Oryctolagus cuniculus: one gene and its partners. The protein of the gene in region 1 purifies or fractionates together with the protein of each later gene. This does not show direct contact. Links are inferred from orthologs where the notes say so. Each region holds a gene or a part of one and is shown on either strand. Other genes may lie near its edges.

The links.
Region 2: the proteins of NCBP2 (region 1) and PHAX purify together in Homo sapiens (affinity purification with mass spectrometry; 5 studies listed by BioGRID and IntAct, with this or other methods). This does not show direct contact. The link is inferred for Oryctolagus cuniculus from reciprocal best matches to the Homo sapiens genes NCBP2 and PHAX.
Region 3: the proteins of NCBP2 (region 1) and KPNA3 purify together in Homo sapiens (co-immunoprecipitation; 3 studies listed by BioGRID and IntAct, with this or other methods). This does not show direct contact. The link is inferred for Oryctolagus cuniculus from reciprocal best matches to the Homo sapiens genes NCBP2 and KPNA3.

Annotation. Positions count from the first base shown.
Region 1 is NC_091435.1:83,418,191-83,425,692, forward strand, and holds the start of NCBP2 (nuclear cap-binding protein subunit 2), read right to left. Parts: upstream 2,992-7,502; 5' UTR 2,866-2,991; coding exon 2,788-2,865; intron 770-2,787; exon of another isoform or gene 107-769; coding exon 1-106. Other genes in the region: protein NCBP2AS2, read left to right, coding at 3,113-3,412; PIGZ (GPI mannosyltransferase 4), read right to left, coding at 5,126-6,693. UniProt on the Homo sapiens protein: Component of the cap-binding complex (CBC), which binds co-transcriptionally to the 5' cap of pre-mRNAs and is involved in various processes such as pre-mRNA splicing, translation regulation, nonsense-mediated mRNA decay, RNA-mediated gene silencing (RNAi) by microRNAs (miRNAs) and mRNA export.
Region 2 is NC_091437.1:15,874,237-15,881,281, reverse strand, and holds part of PHAX (phosphorylated adapter RNA export protein), read right to left. Parts: intron 6,246-7,045; coding exon 5,632-6,245; intron 2,104-5,631; coding exon 1,983-2,103; intron 1-1,982. UniProt on the Homo sapiens protein: A phosphoprotein adapter involved in the XPO1-mediated U snRNA export from the nucleus.
Region 3 is NC_091440.1:69,091,891-69,099,733, reverse strand, and holds the start of KPNA3 (importin subunit alpha-4), read left to right. Parts: upstream 1-2,906; 5' UTR 2,907-3,093; coding exon 3,094-3,162; intron 3,163-7,843. UniProt on the Homo sapiens protein: Functions in nuclear protein import as an adapter protein for nuclear receptor KPNB1. Binds specifically and directly to substrates containing either a simple or bipartite NLS motif.

The DNA of each region.
Region 1 (7,502 bases):
TACTGAAGAGTTCATAAATTTGTTCTTCAGTTGTGTAAAAGGAAAGATTTCCAACATATAATGTACAGCTTTTCTTCAGTAATTTTTCTTGTTCTTCATTGTCACCCTAGAATTTCAAATAGAGACAGAGTTAAACAATACAACTTACTTAAAGAGAGCCTTGCTTAAATAGTATCTCCAAGTACAATAAAACATTAGTTCTGATTTGGAAATAAAATTCCCTTATCATTCCAATCCACCACAAAAACTTGCCAATAAGAGGGGGAATTCAAATTCTGTAAAGCACTTAAGCAAGGTCCAGGAGGGGAGGGTTAGGCTCACAATAATGACACTGTGCATGCCACCTTTCCATTCCTGCATTAGACTGCCAGACAAGCAGTGTGCCTTTTTCTTTCACACTCCATATACTCAGCATTGGATCTTTCTCTAATGGCCCAAGTTTAAATTCCAGTATAGGGGCCAGTCCTGTGGCGTAGTGGGTAAAGCTGCTGCCTGCAGTGCCAGCATCCCATATGGGTACTGGTTCGAGTCCTGGCTGCTTCACTTCCAATTCAGCTCTCTGCTGTGGCCTGGGAAAGCAGTAGAAGGTGGCTCAAGTTCTTGGGCCCCTGCACCCATGTGGGAGACCTGGATGAAGCTCCTGGCTTTGGATTGGTGCAGCTCCAGCTGTGCTTCCATCTGGGGAGTGAACCAGCGGATGGAAGACCTCTCTCTCTCTGCCTCTCTGTAACTCTTCAAGTAAATAAATAAATCTTAAAAAAAAGAAAAATCCCAGTATATAAGGAAGGGCCCTTCTCTCTGTAGAGAAAAATGGATTTTCAAAGATCAAGTTTCCCTTATAAAACTGTCAAAGCAACAATGGCTTAGATGACTTACAAGGTCAGAGTTCAGGAAAAAAGATAATGATGACTAAAAAGATCTTCTTAGTGAGGTTCCTGACTTGGAAGATAAACCAGAGACAGGAATATATAATTGGCTTTAACCAAGACACCTGACAATCCCTGGGGACAAGATGGCTCATCATGGACTAGACATGATGCCTTCACAGAAACCAGTATCTTGGGTGCTGGCATTGTGGTGTAATAGGCTGTCTCCACCTACAGTGCTGGCATCCCATAAGGGCGCTGGTTTGTATCCCAGCTGCTCCTCTTCCAATCCAGGTCTTGGCTAATGGCTTGGGAAAGCTACAGAAGACAGCCTGCGTGCTTGGGCCCCTGCACCCCCGTGGGAGACCTGGAGGAAGGATCAGCTGTGCTCCAGCTGTTGCGACTATTTGGAAAGTGAACCAGCGGATGGAAGACCTTTTTCTCTATCTCTCCCTCTCAAATAAATCTTTTTTTTTTTTTTTTAAGAAAGAAACCCATATATGGCTGTTTTGGACCTTCTAGCCTCCATACTGGGAAGGATACATGTGATTAAATATGAGGCCCATCAGCTGACTTACTCTCCCGCCGCTCTGATCTAGCTTAAGAGTCCAAGATAACCACACCAGTGGCATTCCAGCTTGTAGGGCCATGAGTAGATCCACACCAGCACGCACAGGGCACTGTTCCAGTGGCCCTCACTTCTTCAGTCACTGCTCTACATGTAGTGCTGATCAGTTCTCTTCACTCCAAGAATCACTCTGCATAAGCTGTCCCTGAATGCTCTATAGCGCATTACTTAGAACAACAGTTTTATGTGATCGCATTCAGTGGTAATTAGAGAAATAGCGAAACCATCTAAACTCACACCACAAGAAAACTGAGGGCTGGTGTTTGGCACAGCAGTTAGGACACCCACATCCTGGTCAGACTGCCTGGGCTCAAGCCCTAGCTACGCTTCTGATTCCGGCTTCCTGCTAATACTCACCCTTGGAAGCAATGGGTGAGGCCTCAAGTCACTGAGTTCCTGTCTCCCAGGCATTTGGGGAGTGAACCAATTTCTCAAATAGGAAACCAATTGGACTATGTAATAATATACACTGATTTTTAAAGAAGCAGTCTGGTTCACTCCCCAAATGCCTGCAACAGCCTCCCCCACTCCCCAGCTCGCCTAACGGAACACGAAACACTGCGACACGGTGTTCAATAGTTTCCCTAGTAATTAGGTTATGAGTGCTGCTCTGCCGCAACCTCTGGCCATCCCCGCTGTCACCGGGAAAGCCCATCTCTAAGTATCTGCAGCTGCCCCCTTTCCCCAAAGTATGTTGTAATACAGCCTAAAACCCCCCTTCTGAAATCCAGCATTCTTCCATCTAAACACGCGGGCATCCTCTAGGTGGTCGATCTGCCACCCCACTCCGAACTCTCCCCGACGTTAGAGACAGGACTCAATTTTGTGTCGCCCACCCACCAGTTAGAGCCACTAACAAAAAATTTTAAAAAGGATCCGAAGCGTCAAAGAACACTGGCCGATTATTTAAGACCGGGGGGGGGGGGGGACCGACGGGGGACGGTATGTGTGTCAGAAAGGCGCCTCCACACGCTCCAGCAATGAAAAAGTCTCTCCCCTCATCACAAGTCACTTTCCCGACGCACGGCCTGCAGGAACAGCAGCCAGCGCTGACGACGCCGCTCGAGCCCTCTGCGCCGGCCGCGCACGAGGAGCGGCTGCAAGGCAACGGGAAAGCGAATCTCAAACTCTCTCTCTCGGAAACAGAGTGGGGTCCCCTCCAACATCGCTGCCTCCCCAGCAGGCACCGGGGACCCATGGCCCGTTTCGGGGCAGCAGAAATGTGCAAGAGCAAACCGTTTCTCAGCGTCCTGGCTCAAGGGTCTGCCCGTCGCGCGGCCCGGGCTCCCTCACCCGGAAGTGCTGGTCCCGGTACTGGCTCAGCTCCACGTAGGAGTCACTGCGCAGCGCCTTCAGAAGGCCTCCCGACATAGCTCACACAGCTGCACAACGACGCGCCGACTCCCGAGAACAACCGGACTGGGGCGGCGGCGCGGCAGCAGCGGCGGCGGCGGAAACGGAAACGCGCGGACGCGGCGCACAGTGGGAGTCTCCAGACCAATCCGAGCGCGGCAGTGTCGTCATCAGACGGCGCGGAGGCGGACACAGTCCGCGGCCCAGCGCCGCCGGTCCGGGGACGAGGGAGGCGTGCTCTTGGTTCCGGGACGCTCTCACGAGGATGGTTCTTCGGCGGCTGCTGGCTGTGTTGCTGCACAGCCCGCAGCTGGTGGAGCGGCTGGCCGAGTCTCGGCCCATCCGGCGTGCGGCGCAGCTTACGGCCTTCGCGCTGCTGCAGGCCCAGCTGCGCGGCCAGGACGCGGCCCGCCGTCTGCGGGGCCTCGCGGCGGGGCCCGCCGGCTCGCTGGGTCGTCGCGCCGCGCGATTCCGAGACGCCTTCACACAGGAACTACGCCGTGGCCTCCGGGATCGCCCGGGGACACCACCGGGGAGCCAGAGGGGTCCAGGCGCAAACCCTTGAGCCCGGGCCGAGGTCGCCTACTTTCGCTTCGGGACTGTACAGTGGCTTCGGCGCTGAGGAGTCATCCCGGGAACTGGGCACAGCTTCGAAACCCTGACTCAGATTTCCGGCCTGCAGACGTCCCACTACGAAGAGCCCAGGCCGAACGGACCTCCTCGTTGAAGCCCTGTGACGGGCAGAGCTCCGTGTGGCCAAAGACCCCGAAGCCTGAGGGGCTGCCCCGGGACGCAGCCAGAAAGGGAGCCTGCCCTCTACAAATGGGACAAGAACTCGGGCTAGATATGCGGGGAAGATCATGGATGGAAACACGGCCCTGCAGCTGCCGAAATCCTCTGATTAAATGCGTGAGCTGATTAACCGGCGTGAGTGTGGTGCTTCTCAGACCAGGTGGATTGGGAGGCCTGGGCGCTGTAGGCCGGCACACACAGTGAGTGCTTATTCTGGGCTGGCGCTTGCTAATTGCTCTCAGTGTGGGTTATCACACTTAACTCTTTACAGCGCGTTCGTGGGAGGAAGTGGATATTACTTCTTACGTTGCCCAGAGCCTTACAGAGCGGAATGTGAGTACAGGCATTTGACTCCGGGGCCTAAATCCGTAATCACCACTCTCCACAGCATCTACCCTGCCCCAGTGCCTGTCTTCCTCCACCGCCGTCACCACCAGGCATTAAGACTACCGGGATTCCTGTTCACTTTTGTGGGTCTGGGATACAAACCACTGGTCCAGCTAACGGACCTACAATTAGGATGCAAATTGTGTACAGAAGTGCCCTGTCATTTCCGGCTCTTGATTGGGTGTCTGATGGGCTCTACTTAGGCTACACAATTAATCATTCCGTCTAGGAAGCGTGAAGCCTTTAAATGTAACCGGTACTGACCAAGCATCATAGATTCCAACTGTGTTCCCACGGGGCAGGTTGGAAGGACCTGAGTGACATCGCTGAGGTGGGAGAACACCTGGGCTCCCTCCTCTTCGAGAGTGAGCCTGCAGGGCAAGGTGCAGCAATGGCCGGAGGGCTTAGGAACAGGAGTAGGAGAGGGGAGAAAACTTCCAGAATAACTCGTTTGGATAATAACCGAACACAGAGACAGCAGGTACCAAGGTGCCATTAGATGCATTGCCACTCCCACTTGCATTCTTAAAGGGCTTTGTGGGAGAGATGCCTATTAAGCCAGGGGACGTGTGCTGTGGAGTCCAGGAATGACAAAATTAGCTGACACATTCTGCAGAGATTCTCTGGCCTCCTGTGTTCTGAGCCAAAGGGGCTTTGTCAAGGTCACACGGTCTGTGAGTGGCAGGTCTGGGACTAGAGGGCGCCCCTGAGTCCGAGCCTCCTGTTCTCTGTGTCACCACATTGCCCTCCTGGGATCCGACAGGCCAGATTGACTTAGGAAGCCAAAGAGCTATCTGTCATTAGTAGTTCCTGTCTTCACAACCAGGCACTATTACGTATTTAAAACATCATGGTGGCCCGAAGGACTAGGGCAGGTGCAGACAGCGGGTGCCATATTCACATCAGGATCCTTTGGAGACCTTGACACCAGGACCATGACTCATCAGGTCTTTGTTCTCCGAGAGAGAAGTGCCAGCTCACCAAGAAGGCCGCACACCCAACAGCTGTGCCTTAGAGAGGCAGCGGTGGAAATCCTGAAAGAGACCTGTGGACTAGCAGCCCAGCCCAGCTACCCATGTGGAAGGTATGGTGGCTCCTTTTATGGCCGAATCCTGGGCAGTGGCTGCTCTGCTGTGTTGTCAGGCTTCTCTCCCAGCTCCATGATGTGGAGACTGAGGTGGTCCCTCCAGGCCCCGCTCAGCAGGGAAGACAGGGCTGGTGGATCCTCCAGGGTCAAGTGGGGAAATATGAGTGTCTCATTCTTGAGGGGGAAGCTGCACTTCTCCACAGCACGCCTTGTGGTGCCAGGGGTCACCACAAAGAGGCGGCAGAGCCACGGTCCCCCGGCCCCTTGGCAGGCTGGTTGTCTGGTAAGATTGTTGAGGGCTTGGCATAGGACCCAGTCCTCAGTCCCACCCATGTCTACCACCTTCACGGGAGAGCCCAGGCTTGGGAGGTGGAGGAGGTGTTGGGGGGGCATGTAGGTGTGGGTGAAGAGGAGTGTGTAGCGGGTGGGCACGCTCGGGAGCACAGGTGCGTGGACCACTTGCTCCAGGTACTGCAGGCTGGGCACCAGGCCCCCCTGATGCAGGCAGCCAAAGAAGAGGGCACCTAGGGCATTGAAAAGGACCAGAGCCCCCTTCCAGGGCACAGGCTGTGTCCGTGGACTGCAGAGCAGGACCACAGGGACCAGGAGGGGGATCAAGAACCGAGCCTCCTGATGGCTAAAGGCGGACAACAGGGCCAGGGGTGTGAAGTACAGGAGAAGGAGGCTAGACCTGGGGCTGGACAGCAGGCCATGGGCACCCAGCCTCCTCCAGAGGCCCACCTGGGCAAAGGCCTGGAGGCAGACTTGCAGCTGTTGCCATGCAGCCCACAGGGCCTGCGCATGCAGTACCCCAAAGAGCAGGAAACCGTTGACTGCCAGGTGAGTGAGCCGCGCGTGTGTGCCATGCCTTGCCAGATTGTGGGGATCCAGGTTGTAGTGCAAGAAGTTAACAGGCGTAAGCACCAGGGTGCTGGATCTAGAGAGGCTGGAGAAGTACCAGCTGTCCGAGGCCACAAACACCACTGCGGTGAGGGCCATCCCTGGGAGCAGCAGCAGGGCCTTCCAGATCAGGGACTTGAAGCCAGGGTTCATGGCTCCCCGAGAGCCCCAGAGGAAGAGGGGTACCAGAGCAAATGCCAGAAAGGTGGGCCGATTGAAGAAGCCAGCAGCCACGATGCTGCCAAGAAGCCAGCTGTGCCACCGAGGACCTGGAGCAGGCGTCTTGAGTGTGTGGCTCCGTGCTGCCTTGGGGGGCACCAGCATCAGCAGGCATGTGAAGAGCAGTCCCTCGATGGCATTGGAGAAAGTCCTTGTGTAGAAGACCAGGATGACGTAGGAACCAGACAGCAGGACAAGGGCGTTCCAACGATCTGCCCCCCACCGTGGGGCCAGGTGGTACACGGCCCCATCCAAGGCAAAGGAGAGGGCAGTGAGCAGGAGCCGGGGCCCCACCAGGAGTGCATAGCCACTCACCCGGCCCGGCCGGAGCCCCAGCTCTTCCCAGAGCCTGAGCAGCCAGAAGGTAGAACCAGAAGTCAGCAGTGGGAAGACCACTGTCCGGCAGGAGCTGCTGGGGTAAAACTCCCAGGGCCGTGTGGCCTGTAAGCCCAGGATGTCCTCTGCAGAGAGAGAGGCAGAGGTGAGCCAGTTCCAAGCTCAGGGGTGCGGTGGGCAGTATTCCAGGATGGCACCTGAGATTTCCCACCCTCTAGTGTGCACATTGCACAACCTGGGACTGTGCACAGATGGACTTTGGTCCTGTGATTGGGTTATGTTCCATGGGGTGCTGGCTGTGACATGGAAGAACTCTTCCTGACCCTCATCCCCCTATCCCGTTAAGCAGCGTTGTCTTCAGCTGAATGCAGAAGAGGCCATCAGATTCATAGCCTGAGAAAGATTTGCTGTGGCACTGCTGACTGAAGGAAGGAAGGGGCCACTGGCAAGGAATGTAGCTGACCTCTGGAAGCTGAGAACAAGGGAATAGGAACCATAATTTTGCCAACAGCAAGAATGAGCATGGAAACATTTTCCCTCAGAATTTCCAGACAAGAACTCAGTGCAGCCCATTCCTTGATTTTGACCTTGAGCAGAGTGCCCAGGCTGGACTCCACAGTACGGGACTGGGAACTGACAGCTGAGTGCCGTTTTAAAGGGCTAGGTTTGTGATGACTGGGCCTGCAGTGACAGAAGCAAATAGCAGGAACCCCAGATGAGTGAGGCTCCACCTTGTGAAGGGGGCAGGGAGAACTGTACCCTGGAAAGGGGGTGTAGTCCCTGTCTTGGGGCTCAAAGATCTACAAGTCCGAGTCAGAAACTCCATGATAATGGTGGTTTTCCAGGGGAGGGGGGTGTGAGAATGGGGTCAGGGAATGAACAAGCCTGGGTTACAGTAAAGGCGATTTAGTTCTGCTTCAGATTCTTAAAATTT
Region 2 (7,045 bases), on another chromosome or scaffold:
AGAGAGAAAGACAGATAGAAAGGTCTTCCTTTACCATTGGTTCACCCTCCAATGGCCGCCATGGCTGGCCCACTGCGGCCAGCACACCGCGCTGATCCGATGGCAGAAGCCAGGTACTTCTCCTGGTCTCCCATGGGGTGCAGGGCCCAAGCACTTGGGCCATCCTCCACTGCACTCCCTGGCCACAGCAGAGAGCTGGCCTGGAAGAGGGGCAACCGGGACAGAATCCGGCTCCCCGACCGGGACTAGAACCCGGTGTGCCGGCGCCGCAAGGCGGAGGATTAGCCTAGTGAGCTGCGGCGCCGGCCTGTTGCAGGCCTTTAGGGAGTGAACTAGTAGATGGAAGACCCTTCTCTATCATTCTCTGCCTCTTTCAAATAAGACGAAAATGGAAAAAAAAATGTTTGCCCATTACCGATTTTTTGCATTAATTTTGATTTTTGAAAATGCTGCATTAAAGAATTATCTATCTTGATTACTGAGCTTTTTCAGCAGTCCCTCAATTCTGCACCTAAGGCAAGTCGAGTCCCACTCAGCCTAGTTCTAGTCCTGCAGGCACTGCCCCTTCATGTCAGTTCAACAGGCACCTTCCTGTAATACAGCTCTGCCCTGATCGCTCATTTACTGCCACCTCCTTCTCTCCTCCGCTCCCTCCACCTCCATTTGATCGTCTCTCCCCACAGGATGTATCACTTCCTGATGCACCTACAGTTATTGAACTTGACCACTTATGGACTGTCTCCCTCTCACCTCCAACCCTAAGGTAAACTCTTTGTTCTAGAAGAGTACTTGGCACACGGGAGTTACTCAGGAAATAATTGTTTAAGGAAAAGAATATAGCTGAAGAAAATGAACCTGGACTTCCATCTTCCCAACTTCTAGCCTGCATTAGCTCACTGGAATCTAAAATTTTATTACCACAGTAGTAAAATACCGATGAATCTAAATCTGCATAAAACTGAATGAGACTCTAAGTAGAGTAACAGGGACACAGTGCAGTCCTGATTATTACTTGCTTTGCTGCTAAATTCCATTTTAATGTCTGCAATTTATGCTCACAAGCTGTTTCCACAGTGGATGCTAAGTGGCTCCTTTTCTCTGTTTGCACAGCGTACTGATCCATCCATCCACACCCTGGGCTGAGGGCTACGTTAAAGGAGATCTGTGCAGCCGTTGTGCAGGGTGAGGTGGCTGCCGGAGCCCAGTCTGGCCCAGCCCGAGATCTGTGCAGCCGTTGTGCAGGGTGAGGTGGCTGCCGGAGCCCAGTGTGGCCCAGCTGAGAAGTGCTCTGTCATTCTCAAACAGCCAGCAGAGGCTCGCGACCCTTGTTCCATCATCATCCCCCACACCGGCATTTTTCAGAGAGGTTTTTTTCTCTTTCATCCCTACCACCTATGAAATTTTAAGACAATGGGTATGGTGTGCACCTACCTGTGCTTCATACACGAAGAAACACTTTCTGCTCCTCTTTTCAAGAAAAGAGCATGAAATTAAATGAACCCAAAGTAACATTTCTAGTCGTGGGCACTGTGGGAAGGACTTCACCTGCATCAAGCCGACTAATGCTCATCAGGGCTGAGCAGACGGAGGTGCCCAGGAGCCGAACAAGCCCTCCGAAGCTCAGAAAGCACAGCCTCGGGACAGCACAGACCCCAGACCCCCGAACCCACCCAATGTGGGCTCTCAAGCTTCCCCACGAAGCTGTTAAAACTGCACTCCCGACCTTTAATGAATCAAGAGAGATACACTCTTAACTGCAACACACTAAGATACTAAAATTTATCTAGCTTTTTGGGTAGATAAATGTAAGTATTAATTGCCAAAAGTTCAGAATTTCTAAATTCACTATTCATTGCTGATATAGTTTTTAAAAATATGAAAAACATCATAAAGGATGATAAATAAGAGATGCAAAAGAGGCAATATTGCTTTCTTAAAGAAAAAATCATGTTAAAAAATACTAAACAGTAGAGCAGTCTTACCACTATAAAAAGGCCACCATTTTGTTCAACTTCAGCAGTTTCCATCAGCAGTTCAATCGCCTTTTTGTTTCCAATTATCCTCACTACTCGGGCTATCAGATCTTTCTTTGGTTCCTGTAACCTGATAAAGAACAAATAAAGCAAAATTAACCTCTTTCTTTGTGTAAAGAGTTGAAGAAATTGATAGTTTACTCCTTAACTATAATGAAAATCCCATTGTAATAACATCTGCCTTTTTTTTTTTTTTAAAGATTTTATTTATTTACTTGAGAGACGTAGCACTTGGGCCATCTTCTGCTGCTTTCCCAGGCCATAGCAGAGAGCCTGATCGGACGAGGAACAGCCGGGACTCGAACCAGTGCCCACATGGGATGCTGGTGCCTCAGGCAGAGGCTTTACCCTATGCCACAGCGCCACAGTCCTGGCCCCTAACTTCTGCTTTTCTAAATATTCAATATTTAACCTTGGAATCACTGGCACCAACCATCGTAATCTTAGGCCACACAGGGACATTATAACCTCAAGGTTATTTGGCCTTGTCACTTGCAGGTGGATTATGGCAGATTTCAAAACAGATAGGCACCGATAGCAAGGTATGAACAGAAACCCAAATGCAAAAGAAGATAAACCCACTCCACTCCTGTCACAACAAACACGTACTGTACTATGCTTTCAAGTACGCCTAACGCTGGCTTTCCCAACCCCAAAGACACCTGGGAGCTCTAAAATGCATGCACCCTTTCCCTCACAGGCTGCCCCGGAACAACAAAGAAGCAGCTGAAACCTACCAAAAACTTTTATGCACCACTCAGATAGTTCTCTCTGCAACGTTATGATGTCAACACTACAGTGTCCACTTAAAACACAGGGAGCCCAAGAAATTCTACTGTCAGAGCCACCACTTCACGAAGGGGAGGGAGAATAACAGCACAGAAGGCTGACCTGCTCGTCAGACCTGGCACCCTTTGGCTCTCAGCAGAAGGTGGCGCGCATCTGTACAAAGGGCACCGGGCTAGGAGCAAAGGGACCAGGGCCTAGCCCCTGGTCCGAAAATACATCTGTAACCTTGGGCATGCCACGTTCCCACTGACGGGGTCTGACTCCTCTTATCTATCAAGTTTGCAAAATCTCACTCCAGCACTCAAATCCCAAACTTCTCAGTACATTAAAACCCATACTAGTGTTGAGGTAGATTTGCCTGGAAAGCCAATACTTGTTTCATAGCTGTATGAAAGAGTGACAGAGACAGAGGGAAACATGGGGGAAGAGGGGAAGAGAAGGATGTTTTCCAACTGCTAGTTCACTCCTTCACCAGCCGGGGTGAGGCCAGGCCAAAGCCAGGAAGCCCACCTGGGCCTCCCGTGTGGGTGACAGGAACCCAGTCACTTGGGTCATCATCTGCCGCCTACCTGGCACATTAGCAGGACACTGGACCACAAGCATGGAGTAGCTGAGATGCAAACCGGGTACTGTAACATGGCATGCAGGTGTCCACTGCGGTGGTTAACTCACTGTGCCTCAACGTCTACCCCTCCTCTTTACATTTTTACTTTTATTTATTTGAAAGGCAGAGGTACACACATACACACACACACACACACACACAGGGGAGGGGAGCTGGGGAGAAAGATTTCATCCACTGATTCTTTCCCCACAAGGGCTGCAAAAACCAGGGCTGGGTCAGGCCGAGGCTGGGAGCTATGAACTCAAGTCAGGTTCCCACACGGGTGGCAGGAACCCATTGACTCGAGACGCCATCTGAAGCCTCCTAGAGAGCAAATCAGCAGGAAGCTCAAAGTGGAGCCAGGACTTGAACCTGCCACTCCAACATGGGTGTGGGTGTTCCAAGTGACATCTTAAGTGCTGTACAAATGCCTGCCCACATACTACTCCTGAGCCGTATCTATTTTCAAATGTGTGACACTGTATATTAGTAAGCTGGAGATAATGGAAAATGAATCAAAATGTGAGCTTCTTAAAAATACATGAATTATAAATTTATCATTCACAAAGCTATTCTACTCCCAAGTATTTACCCAAAAGAAATGAAAACAAAAAAAAATTTTTTTTTGACAGGCAGAGTGGACAGTGAGAGAGAGAGACAGAGAGAAAGGTCTTCCTTTGCCGTTGGTTCACCCTCCAATGGCCACCGTGGCTGGTGTGCTGTGGCCGGCGCACCGCGCTGATCCGATGGCAGGAGCCAGGTACTTCTCCTGGTCTCCCATGGGGTGCAGGGCCCAAGCACCTGGGCCATCCTCCACTGCACTTCCTGGCCACAGCAGAGAGCTGGCCTGGAAGAGGGGCAACCGGGACAGAATCCGGCGCCCCGACCAGGACTAGAACCCGGTGTGCCGGCGCCGCAAGGCAGAGGATTAGCCTAGTGAGCCGCGGCGCCGGCCGAAAATATATGTTCTAATATCTGCATGTGAAGATTCGAAACAGAAGTAGAATATCCATACAGAAGGGAGGAACACACACGCACATACACAAGCAATTAGGGACTGATGTCTGCTACATGACTCAATCTCAGAAACATTACACTCAGTGAAATAAGCCAGGCATGTGACCATAGTCTGTGAAATTTCACATACTATGAAATGCCCAGAAAAGGCACGTTTATATGAGGTATAGATGAGGAGTCACGTAGGAATAAGGACAGGGGTTCACAACTGTGCACGGGCACATGGACACAACGAGTGGCTGGTGTAGTGGCCCAGGAGGTTAAGCCACGCTCAGTACACCTGCACTGGAGTGCCTGGGATTGTGTCCTGCCTCAGCTTCCGATCCAGTTTCCCACTTATGTGCACCCTGGGAAGGAAGCAGACGATGTTTCAAGTGCTTGGATCCATGCTGTCCATATAGGAGACCAGCATGGAGTCCCTGGGTTCTGGCTTTGGCCTGACCCTGTCCTGGCTGTTAAAGATCATTATGGAGTGACCCAGCAATATCTGTCTCTCTCTTTCAAATAAACAAATAAACCCAAAAAGAAAAAAAAAAGTGTTGGTGATGGTTGTACAGCTTGATAAATTTGCTGAAAAAGCCCAACACTTGAGATGAGTGAATAGTATACGTAAAATAATCCTCAAGAGCTAGTTTACAAAGTCACAAGTGCTTGAAAACTCTAGAGAGAGACATAATTTAAAAAGATGCCCTGGGGGCAGGCACTTCGTGTGCGCGTGCACATGCTGCTTGGGATGTGTGCATCCCGTATCAGCGCGCGCATTCAGGCCTTGGCTCTGCATCTGATCCAGCTTCTTGTGACCGTGCACCATGGCAGACAGAAGGCACCATGTCGCAAACCTGGACGGAGTGCTAGGCTCCTGGCTTTGGCCTGCTCCAGAAAATAACAACAAGTCAATACACAGAATTCAAAAAAAGTGCCATATAAGAGCTTTATGGCACAAAATGCAAAGAGTTACTTAAAGTTTTAGAAGTCTGCAAGATTATCCTCTCAGTCTTGTTCAAATTTAAAACACAAATGTACTGACATAACCAAATAATCACAGAGTTCTTTAAGCAAAATAACCAAGTAATTAAAATTCAAGGCAACATTGCTAATGCGTTTGCCATCATGAATGCACACTGAGTTTCCAACAACAGAACAGAGCTGGGTCGAGCGTGCATTGGTAGGCCCGAGTTAGCTGCTCACCTGTAAGCGATTTCATCGGCCACCTTCTCCTGAGAATCCTCCTCCGTGATCTCGTACCGGCCTTTGTAGTTCATCTCCAGCCTGGCTCCCACTCTGTCTCTGACGGGCCGCTTCCGCTTGAGATGCCCTTGCCCGTTTTCCTCGTCCTTCGACCCCCCCTTTGTGCCACCATGCATGTAGTCGTCTAGCTCCTTGTCTACATCTTTTGCGTGCTCCTGAGATTCCCTCCTGAGTTTCTTAGCCAGCAGGTAATTGTAGGTCTCTGACTGCCTGCTTCTGTCAATCGTGCCCTCCATTCCCAAGATGCCCAGTTCAGTGGCCACGGCGTCCTGGTTCTGCTCCTGCAGCACGGCGCCCCAGATGTTGTTAACCTTCTTTCCTCCGGCGGCGGGGGGCTTCTGACTACTCTGGTCAAACTGGAAGGGCTCTGGCTTGGGAGGCAGGCTCAAACACTTCTGTCGCTTGCGCTTCCAAAGAGAGCTCTCATCATCTGAATCAGAAAAGCTCTCTTCACTTGAATCCACACTTTTAACAGTCCGGTAATGTGACGCGGGTGCACCCGCTGCTGTGGGACTCTGCAAGCCCCTCGCGGCACTGCCCCCTACTAGAACTTTCTGCAAGCAAGAGGAGACACGGTCAGTTCCACAAAACACATTCCGCCATGTATTCCACCCGCCATGTGCTGCTTAAAAAAATAAAGAGCGAGGGAGAGAGAGACTCAACTGGACTATTCTAGAACAAAATTGTCTTCAAAAACATCTCTGAAACCAATGCTTATGGAATTTGCCAAATATAAAGCTAAAAAACCTGGCATGGGCGTTGTGAAGTGCAATGATTAAGCTGTTATCTTGGACACCTCACATCCCGTATCTGAGTGCCTACTTTGAGTCTTGGCTGCTCCACTTCTGATCCAGGTCCCCGCTAATATACTGGAAGGACAGCAGAAGATGGCCGAAGTCCTCGGGCCCCTCCTACCCATGTGGGTGACCTGGGTGGGATTCTGGGCTCCTGCCATCAGCCTGGCCCCACCCTGGTTATTGGGGGCATTTGAGGAGTGAACCAGTAGATCAAAGATGTGTCTCTCTGCTTTTTAAATAAATAAATGAATCTTGGAAGAAAAAAGGCTACGCATTCTTATTTCTACAGCTAATGCAGCATTTAATTCTAAGGTCTCTTAAGAAATTAGCAGAGCTCTCAGTTCTCACTTTCAGAAGATTTCGTCTTTTCCATTATTGTCAGAATGCCTGGGAATGTCACACGCAATTTGCTACTGGCAGTTAGAACTGTTTTCTTTCTTTCCACAGATACCCGCCTTGCTGTACACACACCAACTTCCTCCATAAGGTTCAATGATTGTTTCCCTTTGGATTAGAAGGCAAACTCCTACCGGGAGGAACCCGTGATATCACTTTTT
Region 3 (7,843 bases), on another chromosome or scaffold:
GTCTGAGCGACTGGGCACTCTCTCTCAGGTTCTGTCTGGAGAGGTGCCCATCCGTTCTTATGGATGTCCCTACCCTAATAAACCTTGCTGTGTTGCTTTCCTCTGCTCTCTGTCTCATGCCTGAATTCTTTCTTGCATGAAGACAAGAACTCTTGCTTCTCCGGTAACACAGAGATGTCCACTGAAAATCTTGCCCGGCATCCCCCAAACAGCAGCTGTTTTAGGAATGGGCGGCTTATAAAGGACTTTGTGAGCTTTGAGATTCTTTCTCCTTTCTTAATACTCATCACATTGGGTTGTGTGTGTGTGTGTGTGATTACTTGCTTCTGGTAGATAGGAATCCACATGGAGGCAGGAACCGGGCTGTCTTGCTTACAAATGCGTCCTAGTGCTCAGATACAGTAAGTGGTCATTACATATGTCTAAAACTCCAAACTGAGCTTTGAAAGACACACGTTAAAGGACAGCAGCCAGAGTGAAGAAAGGTCTAGTAGAAGAGAATAAACTGAAGACAGATGCTAAATCAGAATAGGGACTGAGCAACAGTCTGGAAATTTCTCTTCAGCTCAATCTAGGAACAAACGTAAAACTCTGTTTCCTTAAGAATAACTTTAAAGTTATTAGTGAAAAATAAAAAACTTATTTTAGACTGTGAGGTAGAAACAGATTCTTTAAAAAGACACTGAGACTAGGCTGGCGCCGCGGCTCACTAGGCTAATCCTCCGCCTGCGGCGCCGGCACCCCGGAATCTAGTCCCGGTCGGGGCGCCAGATTCGTCCTGGTTGCCCCTCTTCCAGTCCAGCTCTCTGCTGTGGCCCGGGAGTGCAGTGGAGGATGGCCCAAGTGCCTGGGCCCTGCACTTGCATGGGAGACCAGGAGAAGCACCTGGCTCCTGGCTTCGGATCAGCACGGTGCGCTGGCCACAGCGCGCCAGCCCCAGCAGTCATTGGAGGGTGAACCAACGGCAAAGGAAGACCTTTCTCTCTCTCTCTCTCTCTCACTGTCCACTCTGCCTGTCAAAAAAAAAAAAAAAAAAAAAAAAAAAAAAAGAATCAGAGTTGAGTGGTGGGCTTTTGTCCTATGGAGAGGCTGAGTGTGGAAGCTGACAGGAAGCCTATATCCATTATTGGAGTGCCTAGGTTCAAGTCCTGGCTCTGCTTCTGATTCTTCCTGGTAATATGCACCCTGGGAGGTAGCATGTGATAGCTTAAACAAACAAGCAAATAGAAAAATAAAAAAATCAGAGGTGGTTTGTGTCCCAGCTGCTCCACTTCTGATGCAGCTTCCTGCTAATGGTCTGGGAAAAGCAGTGGAAGATGACCCCAGTGTTTGGGCCTCTGCCACCCATGTGGGAGACCTGGTTGAAGATCCCAGCTCCTAGCTTTGGCCTGGCCCAACCCTGGCCATTGCAGCGATCTAGGAAATGAACCGGCGGATGGAAGATCTCTGTCTCTCCCTCTTTCTCTGGTGCTCTGATGCACCTGGGAAAGCAGCAGAAGATGACCCAAGTCCTTGGGCCCCTGCACCCACGTGAGAAATCTAGAAGAAGCTCCTGACTCCTGGCTTCAGTCTGGCCCAGCCCTGGCCACTGTGGCCATTTTGGGGAGTGAACCAGCGGATGGGAGAGCTTCTTCTCCCTGTCTCTGCCTCTCCACCTCTGTAAGTCCACCTTTCAGGAACTCCACGAGAGTCTCCCATGTGGGTGGTAGGGATCCAAGCACTTGGACCATCATCTGCTGTCTTCAAGGCATATTAGCAGGAAGCAGAGCAGCCAGGACTCGGTTGCCAGCCTCCTAGTCAGAGGCTTAGCCCGCTGAGCCCCAACTCCTGCCCTTGTCCAATGTTTCAGAAGTACCCTCGTATTTCTACCAACCGTTACATACTTTCTATAATCCACTTGAATTATACTTGCATACTTGTATTCCCAAAGTATGTCCCATATAATAAAAGGAAGCCCACTTGCTGCAGAAAGCAGCTAATGGTGTTATCCACCCAAAATATGTTCCTCGAAAACTTCCTTCGATGACCCTAGGGTCATCTGAGGACCAGGGCTGGACCGCTGTGAAGGCTGAGATTATGAGGGTACGAGAACAAGAGGATTCGGGGCCACCCGAGTACAGGAACTGTCCGAGGGGGCGCTGGAGGATGCTGAAGAAAGCGGGCGTCGCAGAGCTAATTGGAGTACCTACGAAGCGCCAGGCGCTGTTTGCCTGGAGAAAGCCAACCGCGGTCCCTCGGTGCGGGAGTCCGGGGCACACACCCCTACACACACACACTACACGCATAAACGTGGACGTATCAGGTGAACAGAGGTGCTATTTATAACATCTAACAGAGCAAAGGAAGAGCGCACGAGGGAGGATGCTATTCGGGGAAACCCCAAAGAAGCAAAGGAGCAAGGCCGGCACGGTTTCTCTCCCTCTTCTACGCGGAGGCTGCAGGGAGCGCGGCTCACCTCCCAGGAAGCTCCGCCTCTCTTCCCCGATAGGGCGCAAGGTGCCATCTCGCTGGAAGCCCCTCCCTTTGCCCCGCCCAGAGGCGGCCTTGAAGGCGGAGCTTCGCGCCCAGCGCTCGGAGCCGCGCCGCGCTCAGAGCCGCGCGCGCAGGGGTCCCGGCATTCACCTCGCTCTCTGGGCGGGTACAACTACTACGCCTGGAGCCTGGCATGCTGGGAACTGTAGTTGCCACCTGCTGCCCCGAGTCCGGGAATGGGTAAAAGCCACTGAGTCCGGCTCCATTTCTAGCACATGACTTGCTGCCCCGAGGGGAGGCCCTGCTGGGGCGGGCAGGGTCATCCCGAGAACCAACCCGGCCAGCGTCCCGGCCGGCCGCCGCCCCCGGTCACGTGTCCTCAGCCTCCCCGGGCGCGCGCAGCTCCCTACCGCCGTGCCCGCCCCGCCCCTCCCGGCCCGGCCGACGGCCCGCGCCTCCCCCGGCGCTGCTGCCACCTCGCGCTCGGAGGCGTCACGGAACGTGCTCGCTTCTCCCCCTCCCCCTCCCTTCCCCTCCCGCCCTCCCCCACTCCCCCTCCCGCGCCGAGACTCGCCGCCGCCGCAGCCGCAGGAGTAGCCGCCGCCGGAGCCGCGCGCAGCCATGGCCGAGAACCCCGGCTTGGAGAACCACCGCATCAAGAGCTTCAAGAACAAGGGCCGCGATGTGGAAGTGAGTGTGCTTCCGCGGTCCGGGCCCGCCCGGCTTGCCCGCCCGGCCGCGCCGGCCCGGCGGCGGGGAGGGGCGGGGGGCTGGCGCCGCGCTGGTTCTCGCCGGCTTGCGGTCGGTCGGAGTTGGCCGCTGTCTCCCGTCCCCGCGGCCCGGGGCTGGGCGAAGCGGGACGCGGGACGCGGGGCCGGGCTGCAAGCGCCCTCGGGAGCTGCCGGCACAGGGACCAGGGGAACGCCAGGGCTTTCGGCCCCGTCACGCGGGCGCGGCCTGGTGTCGGCGAGGAAGGGATGTGGGGCTGAGGCGGGGTCCGCGGGCCGGGGCCGCGCGGGCGCACGGGGATGCTGCCGCCCCGGGCCGCCGTCCGCTCCGCCGAGGGGGCGGCCGCGCCTCGCGCCCGCTGCCCTCGCTCTCTCCCGCCCGGCGCAGCCCCCTCGGTGCCTCCCGCGCTGCCGCACATGGAGCCTCGGCAGTGCCGGTCCCCGCGCCTACCTCCTGCAAGCCGGGCCCAGGCGGGCGGTGGCGGCCCGCAGAGGGGGGTGGGGACCAGCCGGGTAACCGACTTGTTTGAGGGTGGTGGATGGGGGAGGGTAGGGATGCACCAGGACCATTTTCTTATATTCCACTGCTGGTCTTTGGACCGGTCGTGCTGTGCTTTTCCAGCTCATAACTCCTGTTACTGCTGGCATTTGGAGCGAGCTGAAGGTGGACAATAGTTTACATCTATTGTGTTGAGGCTTGGGGAAAGAGGTGGTTCCGACCTCCGCTCCTAGGACCTGTTTTCTTAGCCTTTCTTGGAATGGGGGTATGCACAGGATGATCATTTGTTTGGCATGTTTCGCTGAAATAAATTGGATACGTGGGTTCGTACGTCCTTGTGCATACCTCGTGTTCCAGGCAGGTAGAATTTCCAGGTGGCTGCAAAACTAAACCTTCATCGTGGTCATTCAGTTCGTTGCTACTCAGTATGTTGCCATTGTCTCATTACGGTGACATTAGCAGGTAGTATTTGCAAACTCGGCGTATTGAGGCAGCGCTAGAGGTCTCTCTGCAGCTACTAAAAGCAATGAAGCATTCTGCACAAACTTCACAGGGATCCTGACCTCTGGATTTGTTAGGGGGGGATGATTTTACCTCCTTTGCTAATACTAGGGGATAGGATTTGCAGTTCTGTAATTTTGACTCAGGGGCCAGTGTGACTAAGAAGAATATATTTTATTGTGACTAAGAAGAATATATTTTATTCTGTCTCAAAGAGAGAAGGTGGTGGGGAGAATAAACCATTCAGCTTTATGTTTTTTAGAGACAAACTCTGGCCATGATCTGGAGCTATAAATTAAGTACTAATTGGAAAAAACCTGGGGAAATATCTGTGGAATTCCCATTCGAGTGAGACAAGTAAAGGTCATCTATCTCTGTCTTGGTCGTGGTTACGTTTCGCTTGTGGGAAATACTTCTAAGCAAAGATGAAACTTGAGAAATGGGAACTAGAAATTTTGGAGCAGCCTTTTCTTATCAGTCTACTTGATGAGAAGAGTTAATTCTGAACTTTTTTCATCAGTAATTTCTTTGAAGTCTACTCCATTGCAAAACACAATTTATATAGTTTAAAATGGTCATATTGTTCGTACAAAAGAACTAGTAACATTCTTTCTTCGGCATTGGTACAGATTTCTGTTCTTGTTTGCCTTATTATTGTGTTCTGGTGTCTTAGTGATACCTATTAAAGACTCCTGCACATAATAGATACACAACAGGTACTTGCTGATGATCAAAAGGTAACTAGTGACTTCTAGATGTGAGAAAGACAGCATGGTTGCCAAGCCATTCAGCCTGACACTGGTCACAGCATTACATTTCTCAAGAAACATTAGATAACTGACACATGAAATAGCTGACATTTAAATAGTAGTTCAGGGGCCAGCACTGTGGTATAGCAGGTAAAGCTGCCACCTGGGACACCGGCATCCCATATGGGTGCAGTTTGAGACCCGACTGCTCCACTTCCGATCCAGCTCCCTCTCCCTGCTGATTGATCTGGGAAAGCAGTGGAGGATGGCCCAAGTGCTTGGGCCCCTGCACCCACATGGAAGACCAGGAGAAGCTCCTGGCTCCTGGCTCCCAAAATAGTTCCTTTGTGGTCATTTAGGGAGTGAACCAGTGGGTGGAAGGTCTCTCTGTCTCTGTTTCTCCCTCTCTCTGTAACTGCATTTCAAATAAATACATCTTACTAAAACAGCCACATGTTTAAAAAAGTAGTGATTCAGTGTGGCAATCACTATGCTGCACTGAGAGCTTCATGATACCTCATAATCCTATCACAAATTGTGAGCTAGATGTGGTCTTATCCCCACTTTAACTGAGTAAAGTACTTCAGATGCAGAAGCTTAGTGCTTATGTTGTATGTGCAGGTCATGCAGGATATGAGCACTCACTGTCTTGGGTATTTAACAGTGTTAGGTCTTGGGTACTCAGAGGACTTGGATTTAGCTTACATGATTCAAGAAGTTTGCAGTCCAAAGGGAATGATATTTACAATACACTGTATCAGTGTGTGTTACGATACAGGTGTTTGGAAAATGCATTGGAAGACCCTAACTTGGAGCTGAGCCATCAGAGATGTTCTGGTTAATTCCTTACAGATGAATGGGAGTGAGCTGATCCTGAAGGGGAGGACTCAGGAGAAGGGGGAGGGAAAAGAAGGGGCATTCCAGACTTGAGGGAGCAGTAATGGAAGAGCATGGAGAATGTAGTAGACTGCGAGGCTGTGAGAGAGGGGGAGAGGGAGTGGTAGAGATGTGACTAAGGGTCGGATCTGACCAAGGGCCTTCATTGTGGATTGAGGGATAACTGATACTATGTGGCATGTCTAATTGAGTCTATCTGTTAGAAACTGTATTATATTAGAAACATACTACACCTCAGCTCTGAGTAGTTGTGATTATCAAGCTGTTAAAAAACAGGTGAACCTTGATTATTCTTTTCACAGGGTAGATAAAGGTGAAACAAGCCAACATCTGATACACAAGATGCTAGATGTAGGAATAAATATGTTATTTTCTAAAGAGAATGAAAGGGTAGCATTATGCCAAGGAGATTGGATAAAGAGAGTTGTGGAAGAAAATAATTTCATAGTCATTTAGTCAAGAATGGCTTCTTAGAAGGAAAATTGGAGAGAACAAATGAAGTCGATGATTCTTATAGGAAATATGTGCCCAGCTTAAAAGGGGCACATGAGAAATTAGTGGCTAAAGACCCAGGTAGAAAAGAAGATTAGGTTAGGGTGTGAAGAGCTGAGGCTTCCTGATGGCCTGTTTGTTCAGAGGATGAGAATGCCTTGTGGCAAAGAGATGCTTGGAAGTTTTTCTTGATAGGAAGATCTGAAGGAATTCATTGCAGAATGGAGTTAGTAGATGGAAAAGGGTGACAGGGCAGTAATAGCTAGAGTTAGTTGTGAAGGAATAGTACTGTTATTTGATCTGCAAGAAGGAATTTCCAAAAACTTGAGACTGGAGGTGGCTACAACCTGGAAAGAGAATTTGATGATGATCTTTCTCCTGCTCCCCAGAAGAGAAAGAGATAAAGGTTATGCTGAGGTTTATGGATGAAAGTAGGGAAGGGAGTAGTTATCACTGATAGCAATTTGGAATTTGGAAAGGAGAATGGATTTTGTAGCTAAAACTAGGAAGTACATAGTGAAAATGACACTCTTAATTTCTTTTGTTTTTAAAAAAGGTTTATTTATTTAAAATTCAGAGTTACAGAGTGGGGATAGAGATCTGCTGTGGCTGTTGCCTGCATTGTGGCACAACAGATTAAGCTGCCACCTGCAGTGCCTGCATCCCATATGGGCTCCAGTTTGAGTCCTGGCTGTTCCGTTTCCTATCCAGCTCCCTGCCAATACACCTGGGAAAGCAGTGGAGGATGGCCCAAGTGCTTGGGTGCCTGTACCTATGTGGGAGATCTGGATGAAACTCCTAGCTCCTGGCTTAAGCCTGACCCAGCTCTGGCCGTTGCAGCCATTTGGAGAGTGAACCAGCAGATGGAACATTCCTCTCTGTCCCTCTGTGTCTGTCTAAAAAAAAGATTCTCTACATGCTGGTTCACTCCCCGGATGACCACAGTGGCCAACACTGGGCTAGACCAAAGCCAGGAGCTTCATCCAGGTCTCCCACATGGGTGGCCCAAACACTTGGGCCATCATCCGAGGCTTTTCCCAGGCCATTATCAGGGAGCTAGATTGGAAATGGACCAGCTGGGATTTGAACTGGTGATGCTGGCATTGCCAGGTGGCAGCTTTACCTGCTGTGCCACCGTGCTGACCCCAACCCTTAATTTCTTTTATTTAGTCTAGAATGTGCATTTCAGTACTAGACATTTTGCATGTAAGCTGTTGAAATTTTTTTTTAAAGCTTTATTTATTTATTTGAAAGGCAGAGTTACAGAAGCAGAGGCAGAGAGAGAGAGGTGTCCTCCATTTGTTGGTTCACTCCCCAAATGGCCACAATGGCTGGAGCTGAGCCGATCCAAAGCCAGGAGCCAGGAGCTTCTTCCTGGTCTCCCATGTGGGTCCAAGGGCCCAAGGGCTTGGGCTATCTAAAACTACTTTTCCAGGCCATAGAATAGAGCTAGATTGGAAGTGCCAGGACTCAAACTGGCACCCATATTGCAGGTGGCAGCTTTA